3 linked regions of the Tamandua tetradactyla genome follow. The protein of the gene in region 1 purifies or fractionates together with the protein of each later gene. This does not show direct contact. Links are inferred from orthologs where the notes say so. Each region holds a gene or a part of one and is shown in the gene's direction. Other genes may lie near its edges.

Region 1 (7,599 bases):
GTTTATCGAAGCTGACAAACAGTGGCTGCATGCAGCAGAACCAAAAACGGATAACTGGTTTGTAACTTTCCCCCCTGTTAGGAGTAGTAGGCAGGCAGAGTCTATCTGTGATGGACAAACAATCTGATGCAGTCTCTGTAGAGTCCACTGAAAAAAATTATGTTAACATATATACAACATAGACATAAATTCCCTCTGTTGTGCCACCAACACCACCATCCCTTACCAAGCTTTTTGATCACCTCAAACAGAAACTCTGTAGCCATTAAGCAGTAATTCCCCAATCTCCACCCACCCCACCCCTCCTGTAGCCTGTTCTCTTATAGCCCACTTTTGTCCATTTGGAATAAGATCATTCCAACCGTGAAGCTCTTTTGCCAGGGCTTGATGTCCCCAAGCCTGTGGATGGTACGTTAATTTGACTTTTCCACCTTATCTCATTTCTCTCTGAAATGGTGACTATGATAATGTTTTGATCCTTTCTGCCTTAGCATTCATTCCTAATATCCATCAAACGTTTTTGTGTGTCATTCCTTCAAATAAATAATCAACATGCATTATTGATCATTAAAGAGCTCTGTATTCTTAACACCGACATCAAGGAAAACAAACCATTGTGAACCCGAGGAATTTACCACCTGAACAGCTGGCACACAGTAGTGCCCTGTAAATCTTGGTGGAATTGATGACAAAATCCAAAATCCCTCAAGAAAATGAATGCCTACTGCTGACAGTCCTGTAGCTGCCAGTAAGCCAGCTTTCAGGGTGTTGGCTTCAGGCCCCCGGGCTGTGTTTGTTCAGGTTATTGCTTTCTATAGGCCAACTGAGGCTTCTTTAGGTTCGTAACAGTATCCTCTAATAATTCAGAAAAATATAGTGGAAATGGACAAGTTCGGGAAAGGAAATGTGGAAGCTAAGTGCCATGACTGAAAAATAAGCATTCAAGCTTTTCACTTACTCATTAAATTGGACCTAAATTACTTATTTGGACAAATAAGAATCTAAACCAGAGATTGGGATGCAGTGAATGCAGAAGTTTCCATCTGGGAATTGATCAAAATGACAGATCCCTCAGCCTTGCTGCAGAGATGATGCAACAAGTCACCCTGAAAATCAGGCCCAGCAAAGGACATCACGTTTGATGCTCAAGTGAACTTTGGGAGAGTAAATTTCTGTTTCATTTTAATTGCCCTTGCATGACACCAAGTATTTCTTCCCAATTTGGCCACATGCACTAATACGTGATCATCATTGAGAAGAGCCTTCAAAGCCAACAGCAACCACAAAAAATACGGACAGAGAAAACTCTTTTGTCCTTAAACAGAATTAATGCAACTTAAATACTTCAGTCTCTTGTAGAGAGAGATAATGTTTACATTTTTCACTTAAAAAACAAAAACACCTCTTTTGTAACTTTTTTCTTTCATTATCTTACTATCATGTTTTTGTGTCTGCTTTCTTGATCTTTAAATCAAACCTGTATTCAGTTCAGTGGAGTTCATGTAGCCAAAATTACTAAGATTCTGTGGTTTAACTGGAAGGAAATATACCACAAAGTGACAATGGTTATCTCTGAATTGGAATTATAGGATATTTATACCTTTCTTCTTTATACTTTTGTGGAGTTTTCTGAATCAGCTATAATCAGCATGTGGAGTTTTCTGAATCAGCTATAATCAGCATGTGTTACTGCTATTAAGCAAAAAAAAAAAAAAAAGAAAGAAAGAAAAATAGGAATTACTTAAAAATTCCCTCACCTTGTACAGAAGTACAGGAATCTGGTGTATAGAGACGGGAAAGCAGGAAGTGGGGCTTTAGCCTCAGCACCACCGCTCTTTCATTGTGATCTATATCAATAATTCAAATAATTTAGCCTCTCTGTGCCTCGGTTTCCCTATCTATAAATGAAGGGGGACCACCAAGATGACCTCTAAGATTACTTTCAACCTTAACATTATGAGTCCATCAGAAAATAAAATTTAACTTGATACAATCCTGATGCAGGGTTACGGCATTCCTCCCAAATTTATCGGCCAGTCCTGCAATCTCACTTTGGAAGATCCGTCCTCAGCTCTCTGTGCAGAGATTCAAATTACGGTTGGACAAGAGGCTTATGGCCTGTGTGACAGCTAATGATTGGAAACAAGTTCACCAAGAAGGGCCTCAGAATATCAAAACATACCACAATAGGAGGCAGCTATAAAAAAGAATGAAACCTTTTAAGATATATTTTTATTTTTTTTGGAACTATGTTTCTGGAACATAGGTTCTTGAAGGTTCTCTGCGCCTGCTTCAAGTCAAGTTTTTCAAAAAGACCAAATGTCCTAGGACATTTAAAGAAAAAAATATTATTAGGAAAGACCGCCAAGCAGATTTCAAGGATCTGGGGAAAGTGCAGAGTCCCTCCTTCCAGGCAGGCCACAATGGCCACTGGCTTCCTCTGCAGAGAAGGATCCCCCAGGGCAGCTCTCCAGCAGGGGGGCTGAGCAGGGCTGCCCGAAGCAGGACAGGCTGCAGCTCCAGCCTGCCTGGGTTTGACCCCACTGTCTGGGTTACGAGGCCCCTAGTGACTGGTCAAACTCAATAGTGAGTATAAGAGCACAGAAGAGGAGGCCCCCACCCCATCCCCATTCCCATTCCAGCCAGCTGACCTCCGCCCACAGTCAAGATGTCCTAGTAAGTGGATCAAGAAGAAATAAAAGGGTTTGGACTACAGGGATGATAGGTGAGAATATAAAGGAAGGAATAGCGTCACTTATGCCTCTCCAAATCCTTTCAATTTCTGTAAATGCAGTGTGATTTTACAGGTCACTTTTTCAATTTAGGAATTGTCTATAAGAAAGAGGGGATTTAAAAAAACATAGCATTTTGGACAAGATATTTTTAACTCTGCTATCTTCCATTCTAAGTGAGCCCATCCCTCTAAAGGAAATGTCTTCCATATTCTTCCTAAAAAAGAAAAAGCAAAGCAAACAAACAAACAACTTGAAGAGAAAACTGTTTCTCCTACTCTCTGAGACACAGGGGCCTTTGTCTTCCTACCTGGACGTGCTGGCCCTGGAACTCAGCTGGGGAAACGTGGGCTGCGGGTTGCGGCGGCCTAAGCCAAGCCGGGTCTGGGCAGGACCGCGCCCTGCGGCGTTGGCCCGCTCTCTCCTTGTGCTCTGCTCCTGTGCACCTCAGCACCTCATTTCCATACAGAAAAGAACGTTCAAATAGCTGAATTTAATTGGGAGCCAGGAGTAAAGTAATAAGCTTCTTGCTAAATGCTCTCCTCTGACCTCTTCGCCCACCCAGAGAGAGGTTCCCACGGAGAGTAATAGGTCTAGGTGCATTTGGATCTGTTTGTGCGTGAAATTGAGCTCTCTCTGCGCGCCGAGCCCCCTTTCTCCTTTGCAGTTCTTCAGGTCAAGTTGGAGTGATCCGGGTTCGACCGAGTTGCAGTCTTTCCTCCGACACCAACGGGTGGGTTCTTGGGGCGGAGGGGGTGGGCTCTGCTCTGAGCGCGGATTAGTAGGCTCTGCCCGAGGCTCTTGGGGCGGACAGGTGGGCTCTACTCGGGGCTCTGGGCGGGGACAGGTGGGCTCTCCTTGAGGCTCTGGGGGCGGACAGGAGGGCTCTGCTCAGGGACAGGTGGGCTCTGCTCGGGGCTCTGGGCCGGGACGGATGGGCTCTGTTCGGGGCTCTGGGGGCGGACAGGTGGGCTCTACTCGGGGCTCTGGGAGGAGACAGGTGGGCTCTCCTTGAGACTCTGGGGGCAGGCAGGTGGGCTCTGCTCGGGGACAGGTGGGCTCTACTCGGTGTTCTGGGCGGCGACAGGTGGGCTCTGCTCGGGGCTCTGGGCGGGGACAGGTGGGCTCTGGTCAGGGCTCTGGGCGGGGACAGGTGGGCTCTCCTTGAGACTCTGGGGGCAGGCAGGTGGGCTCTGGGCGGGGACAGATGGGCTCTGCTCGGGGCTCTGGGCGGGGACAGGTGGGCTCTGCTCGGGGCCCTGGGCGGGGACAGGTGGGCTCTGCTCGGGGCTCTGGGCGCAGACCGTGCAGTCCCTGCGGGCCGAACGACTTGACAGATGAGCTGCGGTGGAGCTGGAGGGCCCGGCAGTGTGGCCGCCGCCGCCCCCGCCCCCGCGCCCCCCGCCAGGCTTCTCAAGTCGCAGCCGGCAGAGCGACGCCGCCGCCACGCTGGTTTGCCTCCCAGGAATCGGAAGACCGAGACGGATAGAGACGCACGGCAAGTCTCGAGAATTACCCACAAAATCGTAACAGCTCTCAAAAGCCAGAAGCCCAGAAGGGAGCGGGGGGCCGAGAAAAACACCCCGCGCCCCCGCCCGGGGGAGGTGGCCCGCCCGGGCCCCGCCCCGGCCCCGCCCCGGCCCTCGCCCAATGGCTGCCCGGGAGGCGGCGCCATGCGCCCATTGGCCGCGCGTGCTGTCAGTCGGGCCGGGCGCGCGCGCGCAGCGGGGCGGGGGCGCGGGCCCGACGCCGGGCCGCCGAGTCGCCGCATTCAACAGGCGGCAGCGGCGCGGCGGGAGCGCGGCGGAGCGGCAAGCGCCCACCTTCCTGCGCGGGCCGGGCCGCGGGCAGTGCACCGGCGCCTCGGCGGCCCCGGAGCCGCGGGCCAGGGTCTGCGTTAGGCTTCGGCCCGGCTCCTGCTCGCCGCCCCTCCTCGCTCGACCGCGGCCCGGGAGGGCGGGGGTCACCATGGCCGAAGCGCCGCCGGCGGTGGAGACCGACCCGGACTTCGAGCCGGTGCCCCGGCCGCGCTCGTGCACTTGGCCGCTGCCGCGGCCGGAGTTCGGCCAGTGCAGCTCGGCCACCTCGAGCCCCGCGCCGTCGGGCGCCGCCAACCCCGACGCCGCGTCCGGCCTGCCCGGGGCCGCGGCCAGCGCCGACTTCATGCGCGGCCTGAGCCTGTTGGAGGAGCGCGGGGACTTCCCGCGGGCGCCCGGCTCGGCGGCGGGCCCCGGGGGGCTGTGCGGGGACTTCCAGGGCGCGGAGGCGAGCTGCCTGCGCCCGGCGCCGCCGCCCCCGCCCGGGCCACTGCCGCCCCCGCCCGGGCCCCCAGCCGCTGCCGGGCCGCTCGCGGGGCAGCCGCGCAAAAGCAGCTCCTCCCGCCGCAACGCGTGGGGCAACCTGTCCTACGCCGACCTCATCACCAAGGCCATCGAGAGCTCGGCGGAAAAACGGCTCACGCTGTCTCAGATTTACGAGTGGATGGTCAAGAGCGTGCCCTACTTCAAGGACAAGGGCGACAGCAACAGCTCCGCGGGGTGGAAGGTGAGCGGCCCGGGCGCGCGGCTGAACCAGCCTGGGAGGAGCCGGCACGGGGGCAGGTCGGGCTGGGGGTGGGCGGCGGGCTTGGCCGGGCCGGGGGCGGCTCGCGGGGCCAGGGTAGGTGCGCGCGCGGGAGTTGGGGACGAGAGAGCAGGGGCTGGCCCGGGGGCAGGGGAGTGGAAAAAGTGCGCCGGGAAGCGGACGCGGGGAAGTGGTCCACTTCGCGGCGCGCCCAGGGCCCGCTCGGACTCCAGCCGCTGGCCTTTCCCTCCCGGCGTTCGGGGTGAGGGCGGCCTCCCCAGCCGCGGTTCGGGGCAGTCCCGCGGAGCAGTTTCCGCCGCGCCGGGCGGGGGTCCGGGCCAGGCGGGGTCGGTGTGGGGCCAGCGCGCGGTTTCCGGAGGCCGTGGGCATTCTGCTTTGTTTTGATTTCTCGGAGGGGCCTCTCCAAGCCCCAGGTAGCGCCTCCGCCACGTGCCGAGGGGCGGCCGCCGCCGGGGAGCGCGGCCGCGCGGGGCTAGCCGAAGTTCAAGTGTGACCCTCGGCGGGGGCGGGCGCTGGCGGCGCGAGGGCCCGGGCGCAGGAAACGAGCGGCTTTAAAGGGCCAGCGCGTCCGGCCGCGCGCGGCTAGGTGCCCGGGCAGGCGGGGCGCGGGGCCGGCCCTTCCCACCAGGGCATCGTTCCCGAAAGGGCCTGGCCCACGTCCGAGGGTTGTAATTAAGCACGGAGGGCCCCGCCGGGCGGCCAGGGTGCCCGGGGCCGGGGCCGCACTCCCTCGCCCCGGCAGGCCGCCGCTGTGGCAGCGAGCGCGGAGTCAGGATCCAGGGGCAGGGCCTGAGGGGCTTTGCGACCCGCGTCCGGGGTGGTGGAGGCTTGCGCCGCGGGAGTGCCCCCGGGGCCCTCTGGGCAGTTCCGAGCCGGGGGCTCCGGGGCGGATTTCCTGCGGGCCCGTGTGGATGGAGGCTGACGGTTTGTCGGCGTCCCAGGTGGAGGGCTTGATGTAAATAAGGCCGTCGGGCTGGGCCAGACCCCTCCTCCCTGGTGTCGGCCTCACTGGCCCGAGGACGCGCGTCTGCGGTGCGCTGCTCGCACCCAAGTTGTTTCAAAGACGCCGCCGTCCCTGTCGCTCCCGTGCGCCAGGGTCAGGGTCAGGCTGCTCGCAACGCACTGGGAAGGAGCCAGGACTTATTTTATTTTTTCCCAAGGTGTGGTTTAGAGTAAAGGTATCGCTAGTCCCAAACCCCATTGCTAAGCATTGCATGCCCTTTTACCAAGTGTTCCGATGGTAAATGCCTCCTTACCGTCGGCTCCTGTTCTGATAAATCACAAAATCGGGATCCTCTGTAAAAAAAAATCCAGCCTAACGTTTGAATTTAAGTACTTGAATTACTTGCTCACCTATTGATCCTACTTGAGCTGTTATAAAAATTTGCCAATTAAAAAACCTTTTTTCCCTGGTATTCACAGTACAGTGTGTGCTTCACCACCCACCTTGGAGGTGGATACAACCTCCTTTAGCTTGCTTGCTAGAGGGCCTTTCTTTAAAGATAGAGAAAGGCAGTGTTTTGCCTCTCTAGAGGTATTAGTTCTGGATAAATTTGGAATGTAACGTTTAAGATTTAGGTTTTTTTTTTAATCCTAAATCCGACATTTGAGGGCCATCCTGACCTCCCAACAGTTTTTATTTGTTCTTTACTGATCTTCTCATGTTGTTTTCAAATGCAATTCTAATTTTATCTTACCTTTTTTTTACTGGAGCTGGGAGCCACGTTGTGGAGCAAAGAATTCTCTCTCCAGCATGTGAAGCCCAGTGGCAGAGCCCAGAGGGAGGCTGGGGGCTTTGGGAGGTGGTGGCTGATCATTTTCAAATGAGTCAAGTTTTCAGGTGTAGCCAGAGTTGGTGCAAGTCAGATTTCTGCAAGTGATTTTCAGTTTGAGTAAAAGGGCATTTTTAAAAGAAAAAAATAACCTAAATTGTTCTAACTCTTAACTAGTCCACTGGGTTGGGTTTTCATATAAATGAGTTACTTGTTAAAACCAGGTTTCACTCTCAGATCTGAGCAACTCTGAGACTCATAAAAGGGAGAAATTTCTGTAAGAATTTTAGCTTTAAAGAAAAGAAAATCCAGTTCTAAAATGCAAGTCAACCAAAACTTTACTCTTTCAGTACTGAAGAGTGGCTCCTTTGGAACTAAATATTTCCTGTGCTTTACTGCTGGGAATTGACTGAATCTTTAATTAAGTCCCCTCTCTTGTGATCTGCTTTCTGGGCCCTGCCTGAGACGAAGATCGTTTGCATAGGACAGAGTTGTTGGAAAGGTGTTGAAGA
Region 2 (7,747 bases), on another chromosome or scaffold:
AGATAAAAGTAAAAGCTCACACTGAATGTGTAGAGATGAAAACTACAGCATCTGAAGTTAAAATACATTGGATAAGATTGACAATGGATTAGACTTTACAGGAAAAAGAAGACAAACAACAGAAATGATCTAGAATGAAATACAGAGAAAAATAATCCAAAAAAATAAAAAGAGGATCAATGAGCTAAGGGACAATTTCAAGTGGCTAGTTGTAACTGAAGTCCCTACAGTAGGAAGAGACAGAAAAAAAAATCTGAAGAAATAATGGCCAAAAAATAGTTCAAATTTCATGAAAACCAAGAATCCACAGATCCAAGATGTTCAGTGGACTCCAAGCACAAGAAACATGAAGAAAACTACATCAAGGTGTGTTAAAATCACATTTTTTTAAACCAGTGATAAAGACAAAATCTCAAAGGCAGCCAGAAGAAAAAAATGGCATCTTAAGTACAGAAGAAGATATGGAGGACAGAAGTTTACGTAGGAAATAATGCAAGAGAGAAGACAGTGCAGCAATCTCTTTAAACTACTGAAAGAAAAAGACTGTTAACCTGGAATTCTTTATCCAGTGAAACTCTTTCAAAATCAAGGGCAAGGATGCACGGTGGTTCAGTGACAGAATTCTCGCCCAACATATGGGAGACCCAGGTTTGATTCCCAGTTCATGCACCACCCCTCCCCCCCAAAAAAAATTGTGAAGAAAATTCCCTATGATATATGTAGGGAGACTGGAGACACATTAAAAAAAATCAAGGGCAAAATAAAGACTTCTCAGACACACAAAAAATGGGGAGAAAAAAATCCCCAGCAGACCCATAATACAAGAAATGGTTAAAGGAAAATGATATCAAATGGAAATATGGATCTACACAAAGGAAAGACAAGAGCACTCAAAACAGGAACTACCTGGGTAAGTGTATAAGTTTCACGAAAACTGTTCTCATACCCAACTGCAAATACTGCAGTAGCTCAATCAATTCAACTCTGACTCTGCCCAGAGTCAGGCCAGGCTCCACAGGGTCAGTGCCACCCTCCGGATGGCCCTTCAGGAACCAGTTGCAGGTTCCAGGGCCCAGGCCACCCACACTCCTGACCAACTGGCTACAAATCTGGAGGTTCCCACCATGACTTCAGGTTTCATAATTCACTAGAATGACCCACCTAATTTACTAAAAAGTGCTATATTCACAACTGTAGATTTATAATTGTAAAAGGATACAAATAAGAAGAAGCCAAAAGAAGAGGTGTACAGAGGGAGGTCTGGGAGGGTCTCAAATGAAGGCTTCCGTGTCCTCTCCATACAGAGGCAGAACACATAGCCCTGCCGGCACAGTGAGGTCTTAAAATCTCGGAAGCTCTTCATGGCTTTGAGTGTTTTGAATTCATATGGGGTCTCATTATATAGAGATGATTGATAGAATCAATGTCCATGTGGTTGAACTCAACCTGCAGCCCTCCTCGGTTCCCAGAGGGCAGGGAAGTAGGCTGATATGGGCTGATACGATGTGGCTCAAAGCCCTGATCCCCCACTCACATGGCTGGCTTTCTGGTGTCAGTCCCTCTACCTGAGACTGCAGGTGTGGCTGGCCCCACCCTGGCATCTCATTAGCACATGGACTATCTATCAGGTATGGTCCTGGGCCCATCATCAATAGTAAAAGGTGTTCCTATCACAGGAAATTCCAAACAGTCACAGGGTACCTCCTCAGGAATTTGAGACAAACGCCAGCCAAGTTTTTATTACGCTACAATAAGAATATAAGACATTCTGTTTGTATGCATAAGTACGTGTGCATAAATAAAATGTATGACAACAAACATATAATTGTCAGGAGAGAGAAAATGGAAATATACTCCTGAAAGTTGCCTTTACTATGCATGAAATGGCATAATATCACTCAAAGGTAAATCATAAATTAGGTTTGAATACTATAAACCCTAAGGCTGGGTCGGCAAACTTTTTTTTCCCTTTTTTGACATGGGCAGGCACAGGGAATCAAACCTGGGTCTCCGGCATGGCAGGCGAGAACTCTGCCTGCTAAGCCACCGTGGCCTGCCCAGCAAACTTTCTGTAACGGTCCAGATAGCAAATATTTGAGGCTCTCTGAACCACATGGTCTCTATCCTGACTATTCAACTCTGCTGTTGTGACACAAAGGCAGCTATAAATAAAATGTAAATCAGTGAGCATGGCTATGTTCCAATAAAACTTTATTGATAGACACTGAAATTTGAATTTCATATCATTTTCACTCGTCACAAAATATCTGAATATTTTTTAGCCATTTAAAAATGTGAAAAACAGGCAGGCCATGCTGGTGCAGTGGCAGAGTTCTTGCCTGCCATGCTGAAACCCAGGTCCGATTCCCGGTGCTTGCCCATGCCAAAAAAACAAAACAGAAAACAACAACAAAAAATGTAAAAACCATTCTTAGCTTACAGCCATACAGGAGGCTGGCTGGATTTTGCTTACGGGTCATAGTATGGCATCCCCTGCCTTAAAGCAACCACTAAAATAACAACAACAACAACAAAAAGTTATAGCTAAAAAGCCAACAAAGGAAATAAAGTTGAGTTACAAAATACTCAGGTATTCCAGAAGAAAGCAGAAAAAAGAGGGAACAGGAAACATAGAACCGGTGGGACGAAACAGAAAGATGATCAATTTGAACATAACCATATCAACAGTTTACATTAAATTTAAAGTGTTTAAACACCTTAATTAAAAGGCAGAATTGTCAGATTGAATAAAAAAGCAAAACCCAACTATATGTTGCCTACAAGAAATGCCCTTTAAATATAAAGACACAAATAAGTTAAAAATAAAATGATGAAAAAGATATTCCATGCTACACTAGTCAAAAGAAAGTTGAAATAAATATTTAATATCAAAGTAGATTTCAAAGCAGAGACTATTACAAGGCTAAAGAAGGTAATTTTATAATGGTAAAGGGGTCAATTAGACAAGAAGACTTAACAATCTAAATCTTTGTTCCCCTAATAACAGAACTTCAAAATACACAAAGCAAAAACTGAGAAAACTAAAAGAAGAAATAGACAAAGGCCCAATTATACTTGGGGATTCAATATTCCTCTCTCTATAACTGGTAGACTGAGTGGACAGAAAACTAGCAAGGATTAGTCGACTTCAACAACCCTATAAACCAATTTGGCCTAACTGACATTTAGAGAACACTTCACCCAGTAACAACACAATGTACACATTCTTCTCAAGTGCATACACAACAATTACCAAGCTAGACCATATTCTGGGCCATTCTGAGTCTCAACAAATTTTAAAGGATTTAATTCATGCTAAATATATTCTCTGCCTACATGGAATTAAAAAAACTCAAGAGAAAGATAGCTGGAAAATCTCCCAAATGTTTGGAAACGAAATGACATACTTTTAAATAATCCATGGGTGAAAGAGGATATCAAGAGAAACTAGAAAGAATATTGAATAAAAATGAGAAAGATAGCTGGAAAATCTCCCAAATGTTTGGAAACGAAATGGCATACTTTTAAATAATCCATGGGTGAAAGAGGATATCAAGAGAAACTAGAAAGAATATTGAATAAAAATGAGAACACAACATATCAGAATTTGTGAGATCTTGCTAAAGCAATACATAGGAGGAAATATATAGTGTTATATGCCCATAATAGCAAAGAAGAAAAGTCTCAAATCAATGGCCTCAGCTTATATTTTAAGAAACTAGAAAAAGAGCTGATTAAATCCAAAGTAAGCCAATAGAATAATAATAATGAGAACAGAAATCAACAAAAGAGCATTAAAACAATAGAGAAAATTAATGAAACCAAGAGCTGATTCTTTGATAAGATCAATATTTATGAAGTGCCCACCAAGTATCAGGCATTGTTTGGGTCACTGGGGAAGCAATAAATGTAACAGACAAAAATCCCTAGGTACACTCCCTTGTGGTTCCTTCTGCTGGAATGCTCTTCTTCCCTGCTATTTGTTTCATTTCTCTCTCTCTCTCTCTCTCTCTTTCTTTTTCTCTCTCTGCCTCTTACTTCCTGTCTTTCTTTCTCTCCTTTCTGTCTTTCCTTCTGTCCATTTGTCTACCCCTACTAGAATGTATGTTCCACAAGGTCATATATCTGTCTATTGTCTTCATTGTTTTAACTCCAGCGCCTAAAACAAACAGTTCAATGAATAATTGTTGAAGGGATGAATCCGTGTTCTCAGGGACCCTATATTCTCTCTTTAAATGTAAGATTTGAAATTAGTGCTCAGAAGGCAGGATCTTAGAAACAGAGGCCAAATATTACTTTCAGAAATCAAAGTATAAGGCTCATAAGTCACCAGCTAAGGATCAAAGATCATCTTGGAGGTTGGAGATCAGGAGGAGCTGGAGTCAGAGTTCTAACAAACGTCTCAGGACTGGAGTCAAAACGTTCAAATCCGGTTTTCAGATCAATGGGAAGGGATGTGGATTCCAGGAGCTGAGAATCAGATTCAAGAAAGGAGAGTCAGAAATGTGTTAGAATCAAAGTTGAGTAAGAGATTGATGTTATCAAAGGTTAGGACTTGGGGGTTAGAGGTCAGGAAGTCAAGGCTTAGAGGTCAGATTTAGTGGTAAGAGGTTAGGGAGCCGGGATCAGACACCATAGGAGAATCAGGTTAAACTGATCTTTGGGCTAGACTTGGGAGTCTAAGATTCACTCACGTGTCCCCATCTTCAGTGACGTAGCCGAAGACGAGGGGAGCCCACGACAGCCCCGGGCCCAACTCCGGACCCAACCCTGGTCCTCCGGGGGCTGCTGCGTCCGGGCCCAGTGAGCCCAGACCACTGTCACACCACTCATCCGCGTCTGCAGCTTTCCCCAGGCACGCGACCCCGGCCATAGCCCCGCAGCCTCCGGAGTCCCCCGCGGCACCCAGCCAGGCTACTGCTGGGCTCTGCCTGGATCCTAACCCTTCCGCCCTGCGGGGAATTCCCCAACACTCCCCCTACTTTGCCCAATCAGAGTGGGTCAAAGCTCTCTCTCCCCGCCCCATTCCGCTCCAAGACCAATCAGAACGTCCTATTGTACTACAGCTTTCGACCCATTCCCACATTTTCCGGGCGCCCTTTACCAACATGGCTGCCGACGCCAGGCCCTCTGGAACTTGTAGTCCGGCCCTCTCATCTCCCTTATCCGAAGAGAAACGCTCGCGGCGTTGTGCTAATCACTCGTATGCGGTGGTCGTGGCTTCTGGGAGTTGTAGTCCTTTGCCTCCTCACTGCCCCTCCCGTTTCCGGTGCCGTCACGGGGCAGAGAGGTCGGTGACAGCCCCGAGGGCCCCGGTCCCGCGCCCATGGCCGAGCCGGACCGTGAGTCAGGGGCCCGGGTGGGAGGATCGGGCCGCGTCGGGGCCTGACAGCAGGCTGCAGGCCCCGGGGCCCGAGAGCAGGCGCGGTGGGGCAGGAGATCGGGCAGCGTGGGGGCAGTGGGATTTGAGGGGCCGTTGCTAAGTGATCCGTGGTGTTTGATTAATGAGTGTCTGGGTCGCGAGAGTTTTAAGGGCCCATTTGCCTAGTGCCCCAAATTGCTAATAATCGCATGTTTCTCGCACTTCGGTTGCTAAAGACCCTCGTTACTAAGGACGTGGGTTGCCGCCGTCCTGGTTGCTAAGGGTACCTGGTTGTAGGATGCCAGGGGATCCCCTGGTGTCCCCTTCTATCTCTTGCCTCAAGTACCTGTGCCTCTCCTTAACTTGCCACCAACCACCCATCCCTATCCCGGCACCTCCTCTTCCAAACCCGGCTCCCAGCAGGGTATCCCTTCCTATCTCCTCTCCTCCTTTCTAAACTTCCCTCTGCCCCTACACACACTATTATGCTTTCCTAACTACTCCTGAGACTTCCTCCAAACCCTTTATCCCTTCCTTTCTCCTCTCTCTCCTCCAAACCCTTCCCCTCTCCAGCTTCTCCTTAAGATCTGCTTTTCCCTTCCCTACCTCTATTCGGTTTTTACCACTCCCCTCACTAGTATAATTAGGTCTTCCTAGCCCCCACTCCCACTTTGAACCCTTTCATTCCACCTTAACCATTCCCTCCACTGTAACCACGTCTGCTCCCCCTCCTCCCCCAGCCTCTGACCCTCTGGAGACCCAGACAGGGAAGGTGCAGGAGGCTCAGGTGAGATGGGGGGAAAGGGTGGACTGGAGGGAAGGAGAGAGATGGATTTGTTCCCACTATCCCACACTAGGCTCTCAGCTCACTGCCCCAATCCCTCGTCCCACCCCAAGGTGCAGCGTCCTGGGGGATGGTAGATTGTGGGGCCTGCCAAAGAAGGGTATACTGCCTCAGTCCCAGGCCTGCCCTTCCAAGCTTACCTCTTTTCTGTCCCCTCCCCACCAATCCTTCTGAACCTCATTCGTGCTGGGCCCAGAAGAGACAAGCATGGGATTTGGTCCCTGATAGAAACCAACCCTCCAGGGTGACTGTGGAGGTAGCTCAGGGTGCTGTGGGGGCCAGAATATACTTTGTGGGGTCACAGAAGAAACCACCCAGGCCCCTCCTTGGAGAAATCCACAGACGGATCTAGGTAAGACTGAGTTATCGACACAATATAATAAGTGAGGAGTGACTTGGAATTTTCCTGGACAAGATGAGAAATGGTGTTCCAGGCAGAGGGAAAGCCTGGAGGCAGAAAAGTATTGGGTAGCTTGATGGCTGGGAATGGTAAAAAAAAAAAAAAAATTTTTTTTATTGGGTACTTACTCTGTCGCAGATATTCTGCTTAGTGTTTTGGGTACATCGTCTTATTTAATCTTCCCAACATCCCTGTGGGGGGAAGGCCTGTCATTGCCATTTTGAGGGAGAGTTGTTAAAGCGACTTGTCCCCTATCCCTTGGCTAGAGGAATAGGGACGCCAAACCTAAGACACCCGGCCCCCTGCCTCATAGGTGCTAAGCAGGAGGTGGTCAGGGCAGCCTTCCAGAAGCTTATGGGCGTCAGCCAGCACCTCCACCTCCTCTGCAGGCAGGGCTGCCCCACGAGCTGGACAGGGCCTGCCATCCTCCCACAGAGCCTCATTGTCTACAGCCTGAAGGAGCCCAGCCTGCTACCAATGCTTTTCAGATGTAGGTCGGTGCAGAGGCCGTGTCACAGTTCCTCACGAAGGCCCAACAGAGGGATAGTGAGGGTAGAAGAGCTTCCTGTCAAGCCAGGGTTTCTCCATCGCCTAGCTCCAGAGTGTGGCTACTGTCACTTGTGGCTCAGAGAAAAAGGTTTACTATTAAGAAGGGACCCTCAGTGCCAGAGAGAGAGACACAAGGATGTAAATTGCAGTGTTGTCTAGAATAGGGCAAAACTGGACATGGCCCAAAGGGCTGTCAGTGGATGGGTTAAGTGAAGGCTGGCACACCCACACAATGCAATCCTATATGGCTGCTTAACCCAACGAGGTGGGTCTGCAGGAGTTAATTCTGTGAAAAACTGCAGAGTGCAGCAGCCTGCCTGGGTGGGACCCATTTCTGTGAAGATAATTAGGTTTTTGTTTTTTTGTTTTGTTTTTAACCACCAATACATTCATTTGAGGGGGAAAGGGGTCAAGTCTTATGAATTTTTTTAACGGGGTAAGACTAGAGACACTGATCGGCAGAACTTCTGGATATTCACAACTGCCCAGGTAACCAGTCCTGCACAAGTAGGGTCGTCATTGAACAGGTGGGCATTAGTTGAGGGGGACATGTTCTGAGCAATTAGGAGATTTCTCATTCCAAAGAAGGTGC
Region 3 (7,335 bases), on another chromosome or scaffold:
GTTTGGGGTTTCTCTCTCAGCTGGAAAGCACATGGCGATGCCTGCTAACTTTCTCTCCAGGCTCCTCAACGGCTTCCCCAGGGCTCTGTCCGTTCTGTTGGCTCTGTCGGTTCTAGTGGCTCTAAAGCCTTTTCCAAAATGGTTCCCTCTTAAAAGGGTCCAGTAAGCAACCCCACCTTGAATGGGTAGAGATGCATCTCCATGGAGACCATCTAATCAAAGGTTACCACCTACAATTGGGTGGATCACATCTCCTTGGAAACAATCAAAAAGGTCCCACCCAGCAATATTGAATGAGGATTAAAAAGAGTTTGGCTTTTCTGGAGTACACAACAGATTCACACCGGCACAGCTTCTGATAAATAAAAATTCTTTAAAGGACTTCTCTGAAGACAACATGAAAAACAGTCATCTACAACACTGCATAAATCTTGAAAAACCTACAAAGCCACTTCATCCAATAGAGACAACTGTGAACCTTAAACACAGGTAATTTTGGCATTCAGAAAAATTTACCAGTCTGCAAATTTGAGGAATTGGTCATTTGGGTATTTGGCTTTCAGATAATCACTGGTTTCCTTCTCGGAAATGGGAATGCGTGGACTTCCCAGAGGTTGATTATTGATAGTCTTAACAAAGGGTGAAAAAGATGCTGGAGCTGTTCTGGCTGCTAGGCACTCTAAGTGCTATAAAGATACAATGCTGTTAAAATCTACTTTGTTGACATTTGTCATTCTACAATCTCGCAGTTCTCAAAACGTAGGTTGGCTTGGCGTAGGATTCTCACTCTGGGGAGTGTGTGCTCCCCGTAACTGAGCGGCAAGACAAGTGGTGAAGGTAGATTGGCCTGAATTGCAGTAATCTTGAATAAGTGTCACGAGACCTCCTTGCCATGCTGTGTCTGAGGACATTCTCTGCCTTTCTGTGGTTCCTGGTCCTGCAGCTTCCTTGATGCTCCCTGGTCTTAGTGCGCCAGCGGTCTGCTTACCAAAAGCCACCTGTCCTGGGAAGCTTATGCTCTGAGCCCCACCTTAACTCCTTGTTAACAAGGAAGACAAATTTGTGACCTCAGCTATCATCAACTCTGGTCCCCACATCTATTTTTCATGCCCAGACACCATCTGTTACTTTTAAAAAATACTTTTTAGGCACTTCTTAGCCCAGGCCTCGATCTGGGCATTAAGAAACACAGGAGAATAAGACAGAAATGGTTCTAACCCTATGGAGCTACTTCAGGGTTGCAAATAACAGAAGCCAACTTTATGAATGCTTACTTGTGCATTTTATTGTTTTAGTTTGCTAAAGCTGATGAAATGCAATATACCAGAAATGGGTTGGCTTTTACAATGGGGATTTATTAATGTATAAATGTACACTTCTGAGACTGTGAAAATGCCCTAATCAGGGTACCATCAGGAAGATAACTTCTTCCTGAAGAAAAGGCTGCTGGCAACCTGGGTTCTCACATGGGAAGGCGCATGGTGATGTCTGCTGGTCTCTCCCTTCTCTCCAGGTTTTCACTGCTTCCAGCTTCTGGCTTCAGTGATTTCCTCTCCATTTCTGTAATTTCTCTCTGTTTTCCTGTGCATCCTCTTAAGATTCTCTGACTCTTTCCTCTTAGCTTTTTTGAGTCTTTTTTTCTGTGTCGTCTCTGTGTCTTTTATCTTTTTATAAAGGATTCCAGTAAGAGGATCAAGACCCACCTTGAATGAGGTAGTATCACATCTCAATTGAAATAACATAATCTAAAGGTCCCACCTACAATAGGTCTATACCCACAACAATGGATTAAAAGAACATGATCTTTTCTGAGGTACACACAGCTTCTAAGCCATCACATTTATGGACTCGAATGAAGCTCTGAATGACCTAGCCTTGGGCAGGGCTTGAGCCAAGTCAACCACAGAAACCTCAAAAGTAAGAATTTGAGAACATTCCCTCTGTAACGATGCCATTGACCCAAAGGAACTATTGCTATTCTCTATGAGCATTAGTTTAAAAGTCCAAAACTCAGAGTAAAGAACTGTCATCTCCACCTCTGCTCTAATCAACTGTGTGTGTGTGTGGAGGGGGAGCACATGAGAAGGAGGAATCATTACGAGCTGGGCAGAAACTCCAAAAGATGATTATCATAAGAATCTCTACATCCAGCAGGGAAGACTAGCTTATAAAGAACTAACTTCAACCAAGGCTCATACAGGCTTAATAGAGTTAAGTACTCTTGGAGCCTACTTTGATGGGTGTCAGGCATGCCTTCACAGAGGACGTGACATCCAACCGGGTTTTAAAAAAAGCTAAGATGGGCGGTACAATGGTGGCTCAGTGGCAGAATTCTCACCTGCCATGCTGGAGACCTGGGTTTGAGTCCCGTTGCCTGCCCATGCAAAGAAAAAAAAAAAAAAAAAAAAGTCAAAAACAGACAATGAAACGCACCATTTAAAATGTAGAATTCAACAAGTTTAGACAAATATGTACACCCATTTCACTCCCACCCCAATCAAGATACATAAAACATTTCTGTTACCTCAGAAAGTTCCTCATGCCCTTTTGCAGACAATCCCTACCCCTACTGCCCTGGCAATGACTCGATTTGATCAGTATCACTATAGATGAGTTTTGCTGATTTTAGAATCTCATATATTCTCATATGACTTGTCTGTGATATTCTTCTACATTTCAACTGGGTTTTGAAGATTCAGAAAGGGTTCTACAAACACAGGAAGTGTAAGGGCAAATACAGCATGGAGATAAAAAGGAGCAGAGTGTGTTCAGGAAACCAGAATTAGTTTAGTGACTCAAGCATGCAGTCTGAGGGTCAGTGGCAGGAGAGGAGACTGACACAGTGGAAAGAGTTGAAAATGTTAAATTTTACTTGTAAAATCCTCCTGGAAAACAGCAATGGTTAAGAACCTCCCCACTGGCACCCTTTTGTGTTTGGGAAATGGCTTTCTGCAAAGAAACACTCTTCTCCATATGACTTAGATAAAATTCATAGATGCCTCCCTTGTTTATCTATGACAGGGCCAGACACAGACCCTCCAAGTTCCCATTCTTTGTCTTATAAATGATTAGCCAAACTTCCTGTCCCTACTGATCAATGGGAACAAAAGGCCTGTTAATCGAACTTTGGATAAGCTTCTTTTCCTTCCCAGTTCTCAAGCTTTGTTTGACTTACCCTCAGCCTGAACCAGCATACAACCTCTCCTGAGAATATGCTGGCCTCATGGTAAAACGTCTTCTGATCTAGTATTGGGTCAAGCCACCCTTTCTTCCTACTTAGCCACACCAGATTCTTTATAGCCTTGTTTACTTCTCCCTATAAAAGAAAAAACCCTTGAGATGCCTACAGATCTCATGCTCACAGCATTTTCCTTATTGCAGTACTGCCCCTCTTCCTATTGCAGCATTCCCAACACGTGCAACAATCCTTGGAATAAAGTCTCTCCTTACTAAATCTGGATTTATTTTTTCATTTCACCAGAGACAAACAGGCTTCCGTTAGAATCCTCTCCCTTTTTTTTTTTTTTTTTAACTCTTTGACCTTCAGCAAACCACTTTTCCCAGGCTCTGTTCTCTCACATGTAATATGGGAATAATATGACATCATCCGGGGCCAGACCTCTGTGAAGATTAGAAATGTGAAACAGAGGTAATCCAAAAAGAAAAACAATAATAATAAAAAAAAGAGTCGTCATTACTCTTATAAGTCTATAGAGCTGCATGAGGGTTACATTGTGAGCCAGCATTACATGCCAGATTAAGAAATTTATCATATTCACTATTGTATTTTCAACACTTGTCCAATGCTTGGCACTGTACAATGTGCTAAATAAATTTAGAATGAATAACTTAATCCCATTGACATCGTAAGCTACGAAAAGCATGAGTGTTGAGAAGGAGGAGGTTGGTCACTGTCAGTTTTCACTGGCCTTTGCTTATTAAAATTTTCCTCTGCTATCTCTCCACACCTGCCTTCCTAATGATCCGCGTGTTATGTCGGAAGTTCCCTCTCTTGAAAAATGGCAATGATGATTCTTATTCTCTTAAATAAAAAGAGGACGTGGAGCACTTTTTAAAAAGCATGACAGACCATATACATATTTCCACATCTGAAAAGGGAGGGGTCCTGATCGTCCCTCCCCAGGGTCCTCGCCCACTCCCCCCGCCCTATATTCTCCAGAACCCAAGCCCCTTCCACTCAGCTGGACGGTAAGGTCGCATTTCCTCCAGGCTCGCCGGCGCCTGTTTGTGTGCATGCGCACTACTCCTCCTGGTAAGACAGAGGCGGGACTATATTGCGTCATCGGGACGCGCGCTGCGGCGACGCTGCGGTTGCCGGAAGTTGAGTGGCGGTAAGTGAGCGGTTGCTGCCGATGGAGTGGTGGGGGTCCTTCGGGGTCGTGCCGGAGGCCGGTAGAGAAGAGGGGAGCTCGACCGTGGGGGCGGGAGCGCGTCTCAGGCTACTCCTCTCCCGAACTGAGGGGGCCTCCGGGAAGTCACTCCGACTGTCTTCCCTCTTTTTCCAGCTACGTCCCCTCATGCTCTTACAGCCTCGAGACTTCTGATTTGGAAATTCCTGCTGATTGTCTAAGGCACTCCTCCTGTCCTCTGCAGGGAGTGCTCAGAATTTCTGATTTGGGAACAATAGCTAGGAGGACACCTGGGTTTTCGTTGTCTTTGCCTGGATTTGTTGTGTGGCTCTGGCGCGTCCCGCCCGTTTCTGAGATACTCTGATCTGTCAAGTGGGAATACAATACATCATTTGTGCAATGAGGAAGTTAAATTAAGAGAACTCTAGGCGCATTTTTTCTGGTTTGGTGCAGGGTTTGCAAACTCTGATGTTTAACCGGAATCAGGTAAGGTAAATGCAGGCGTAAGAAAATTCCACTGACAGAAGTGTAATCGAACTTTAACACTGTTACTGAAACCAGGCATTTTTGTGACACGTTGGGACTTCTGAGTCCTACCTTCCTTATCCCATAGTATACTTAGATTTCTTATGTGACATCCCTGCCCACGGATTAATTTTCTTCAGTGACAGAAAACTCACTACTTTTGGTTCTCCTGTTTCTTCTTCCCCCAGCTCTCATTAAAAGTCATATATTGAACTGTATGCTATTACTTGGTAATCATCTCATCCCTCCTTCAGTCTCTTTGCCCTTTCAGTTAACTGCCCCTTCCACTTAATTGCCCTGCACTTCTGTCTTCCTCTTCCCACCTTTTCTCCTCTAGGCTAAGTACATTTTATTTATTTACCAGAGTAAGCTCTGCAAGGACAGAAATCTGGGTTTAGTTATTGCTCTATCTCCAGCATTTAGAATAGTGCCTAGCATATTATAGAGGCTCAACAAATAGTTGCTTATGAATACATAAAACAGACATTTGAGAGTTATCAAGAAGGTTTCCCTGAGTAGATTTATATTTGAGCTCGTGAAAAGGCTAGATTTGTGCAGGCTCACATTGCCTGATTGTTTCCCCCCCAACTTTGTTCTTGCAGGTCATCTCACCTACAGCCTGCTGCTCTTGCTGCCTTCCCCTCTGCTTTTCTTGGTCAAGTCCTCCCTGCCACTCATATACATGATTTCGAAACCGTTTTGGGGAGCTGAGTACTGGGCTCTTTATTTGTCAACCTCAAGATCCCTTTTCTGTTTTCAGCCGGTTTCTCCTGATAGAAAATAAGCAAAAATACATGTTGAGCTTCTGCTGTGTACCTGACACTATACCACAGTCTGAAAGTACAAAAATGAGTAAGATATACATCCCTGTCCTCAGGGAGTTTACTTTTTTTTTTTTTCCAACTCAAAGAGATATATTATAGCAATACAGTATGAAGCTATTGTGGAGCTTTGCTAGAGGAAAATTGAGAAGTGCTTGTAAGTCAGTCTGAGACATCAGAGAAGGCTTCTGTGAGGATATGATTTATCCAAGTCCTAAAAAATGAGTAGCAATTAGCCAGTTGAAAAGAGGTGGGATGATATTGTAAATATTGGCAGTGGCATGAGCAAAGGGCTGTAGGTGAGAGTACCTGACTTGCAAGTAGAGTTCTGGAATAAGAGGTAACTGTGAAAAGGTAAATGGGAGCCAGATTACAAGGGACTTGTGAGCAATAGCATATAATGGTCAAGGGCACAGGCTTTGGAATTTAACATACCTGGGTTACACGTAGGGCCATCACCACTAAACTAGTTTTCTCACCTTGGGAAAATCACTTTCTATTTAAGCATCAGTTTCCTCCTCTATAAAAAGGGGAGATGTACTACCTGCTGTGCTGGTTTGAAACTGTTATTTACTCCAGCCATGTTCCTTTTCTTAATCCAATCTTGTGGGCACAGGCCTATTTTTAGCATGGGACCTTGTGATTAGATTGTTTCCATGGAGATATAACCCACCCAGTTGTGGGTGGGACCTTTTGATTAGGTGGTTTCCATGGAGATGCGTCTCCACCCATTCAAGGTGGGTCTTAATCCACTTACTGGAGTCCTTTAAGAGGAAACAATTTAGGAAAAAGCTCAGAGCTTGCAGACAGAGCTGTTTGGAGATACAGAAATAAAAAGACCCCCAGGGAAGTCATTTGAAATTAGAAACCAGGGAAGAAAGCCAGCAGATGTTGCCATGTGCCTTCCCACATGACAGAGAAACCCCAAATGCCATTGGCCTTTTTTTCAGTCAGGTATCTTTTTATGGATGCCTTAGTTTGGACATTTTTATGGCCTTGGAACTGTAAACTTGTAACTTAATAAATCCCCTTTTTAAAAGCCAACCAGTTTCTTGTGTATTTTGCATTTTGGCAGCTTTAGCAAACTAAAACACCTACTTTGCAGGGTTGCTGTAAGAATTGAATGAAATGATACATGTTGCCCGCTTGGTACTGGTAGATAGTAAACACTTGGTAAACAGTTAGAATGACATGCTAAGAACTTCGGTCTTAATTTTTAAAGCTATGAGACTAGGGGTATGTGGAGTGAGGCACTGAAGAATTTTGAACAAAGATGTCTTTTAAAGTACCCAAATGTGGTGATGACCTTTAATGGAGCAAGAAGGGCAGAGTGACCAATTAGAGCACTGTCATGGCAATCCAGATGACAGAAGACAGGCCTGAGAAGACAGTGGCTGTAGGGATGGAGATGGGTGGGTGAATTTGAGAGTTATTTCAGGATTCAATGACAAAAAAGCTATGGTCCTTGTCTTTAAGAAACTAATAAGTTGAGGGTAAGACAAGCAAGGAATTACAGTAAAGCAATTTGGGGGTAAAACAATTACACTACAGTGTGGTAACTTACGGGAGGAGGGAGGAAGGACACCTAAACCAGGCTGAAGAAGCAGGAATATTCCCAA

The links.
Region 2: the proteins of FOXO1 (region 1) and SIRT2 purify together in Homo sapiens (affinity purification with western blotting; 3 studies listed by BioGRID). This does not show direct contact. The link is inferred for Tamandua tetradactyla from reciprocal best matches to the Homo sapiens genes FOXO1 and SIRT2.
Region 3: the proteins of FOXO1 (region 1) and ATG7 purify together in Homo sapiens (affinity purification with western blotting; 4 studies listed by BioGRID). This does not show direct contact. The link is inferred for Tamandua tetradactyla from reciprocal best matches to the Homo sapiens genes FOXO1 and ATG7.

Annotation. Positions count from the first base shown.
Region 1 is NC_135330.1:99,398,005-99,405,603, forward strand, and holds the start of FOXO1 (forkhead box protein O1), read left to right. Parts: upstream 1-4,557; 5' UTR 4,558-4,700; coding exon 4,701-5,276; intron 5,277-7,599. UniProt on the Homo sapiens protein: Transcription factor that is the main target of insulin signaling and regulates metabolic homeostasis in response to oxidative stress.
Region 2 is NC_135342.1:25,106,072-25,113,818, forward strand, and holds the start of SIRT2 (NAD-dependent protein deacetylase sirtuin-2), read left to right. Parts: upstream 1-4,873; 5' UTR 4,874-5,104; coding exon of another isoform or gene 5,105-5,108; coding exon 5,109-5,342; intron 5,343-6,102; coding exon of another isoform or gene 6,103-6,149; intron 6,150-6,402; exon of another isoform or gene 6,403-6,558; intron 6,559-7,747. Other genes in the region: NFKBIB (NF-kappa-B inhibitor beta), read right to left, coding at 4,695-4,873. UniProt on the Homo sapiens protein: NAD-dependent protein deacetylase, which deacetylates internal lysines on histone and alpha-tubulin as well as many other proteins such as key transcription factors.
Region 3 is NC_135335.1:37,669,203-37,676,537, reverse strand, and holds the start of ATG7 (ubiquitin-like modifier-activating enzyme ATG7), read left to right. Parts: upstream 1-4,260; 5' UTR 4,261-4,352; intron 4,353-4,362; exon of another isoform or gene 4,363-4,856; intron 4,857-5,255; exon of another isoform or gene 5,256-5,747; intron 5,748-7,335. UniProt on the Homo sapiens protein: E1-like activating enzyme involved in the 2 ubiquitin-like systems required for cytoplasm to vacuole transport (Cvt) and autophagy.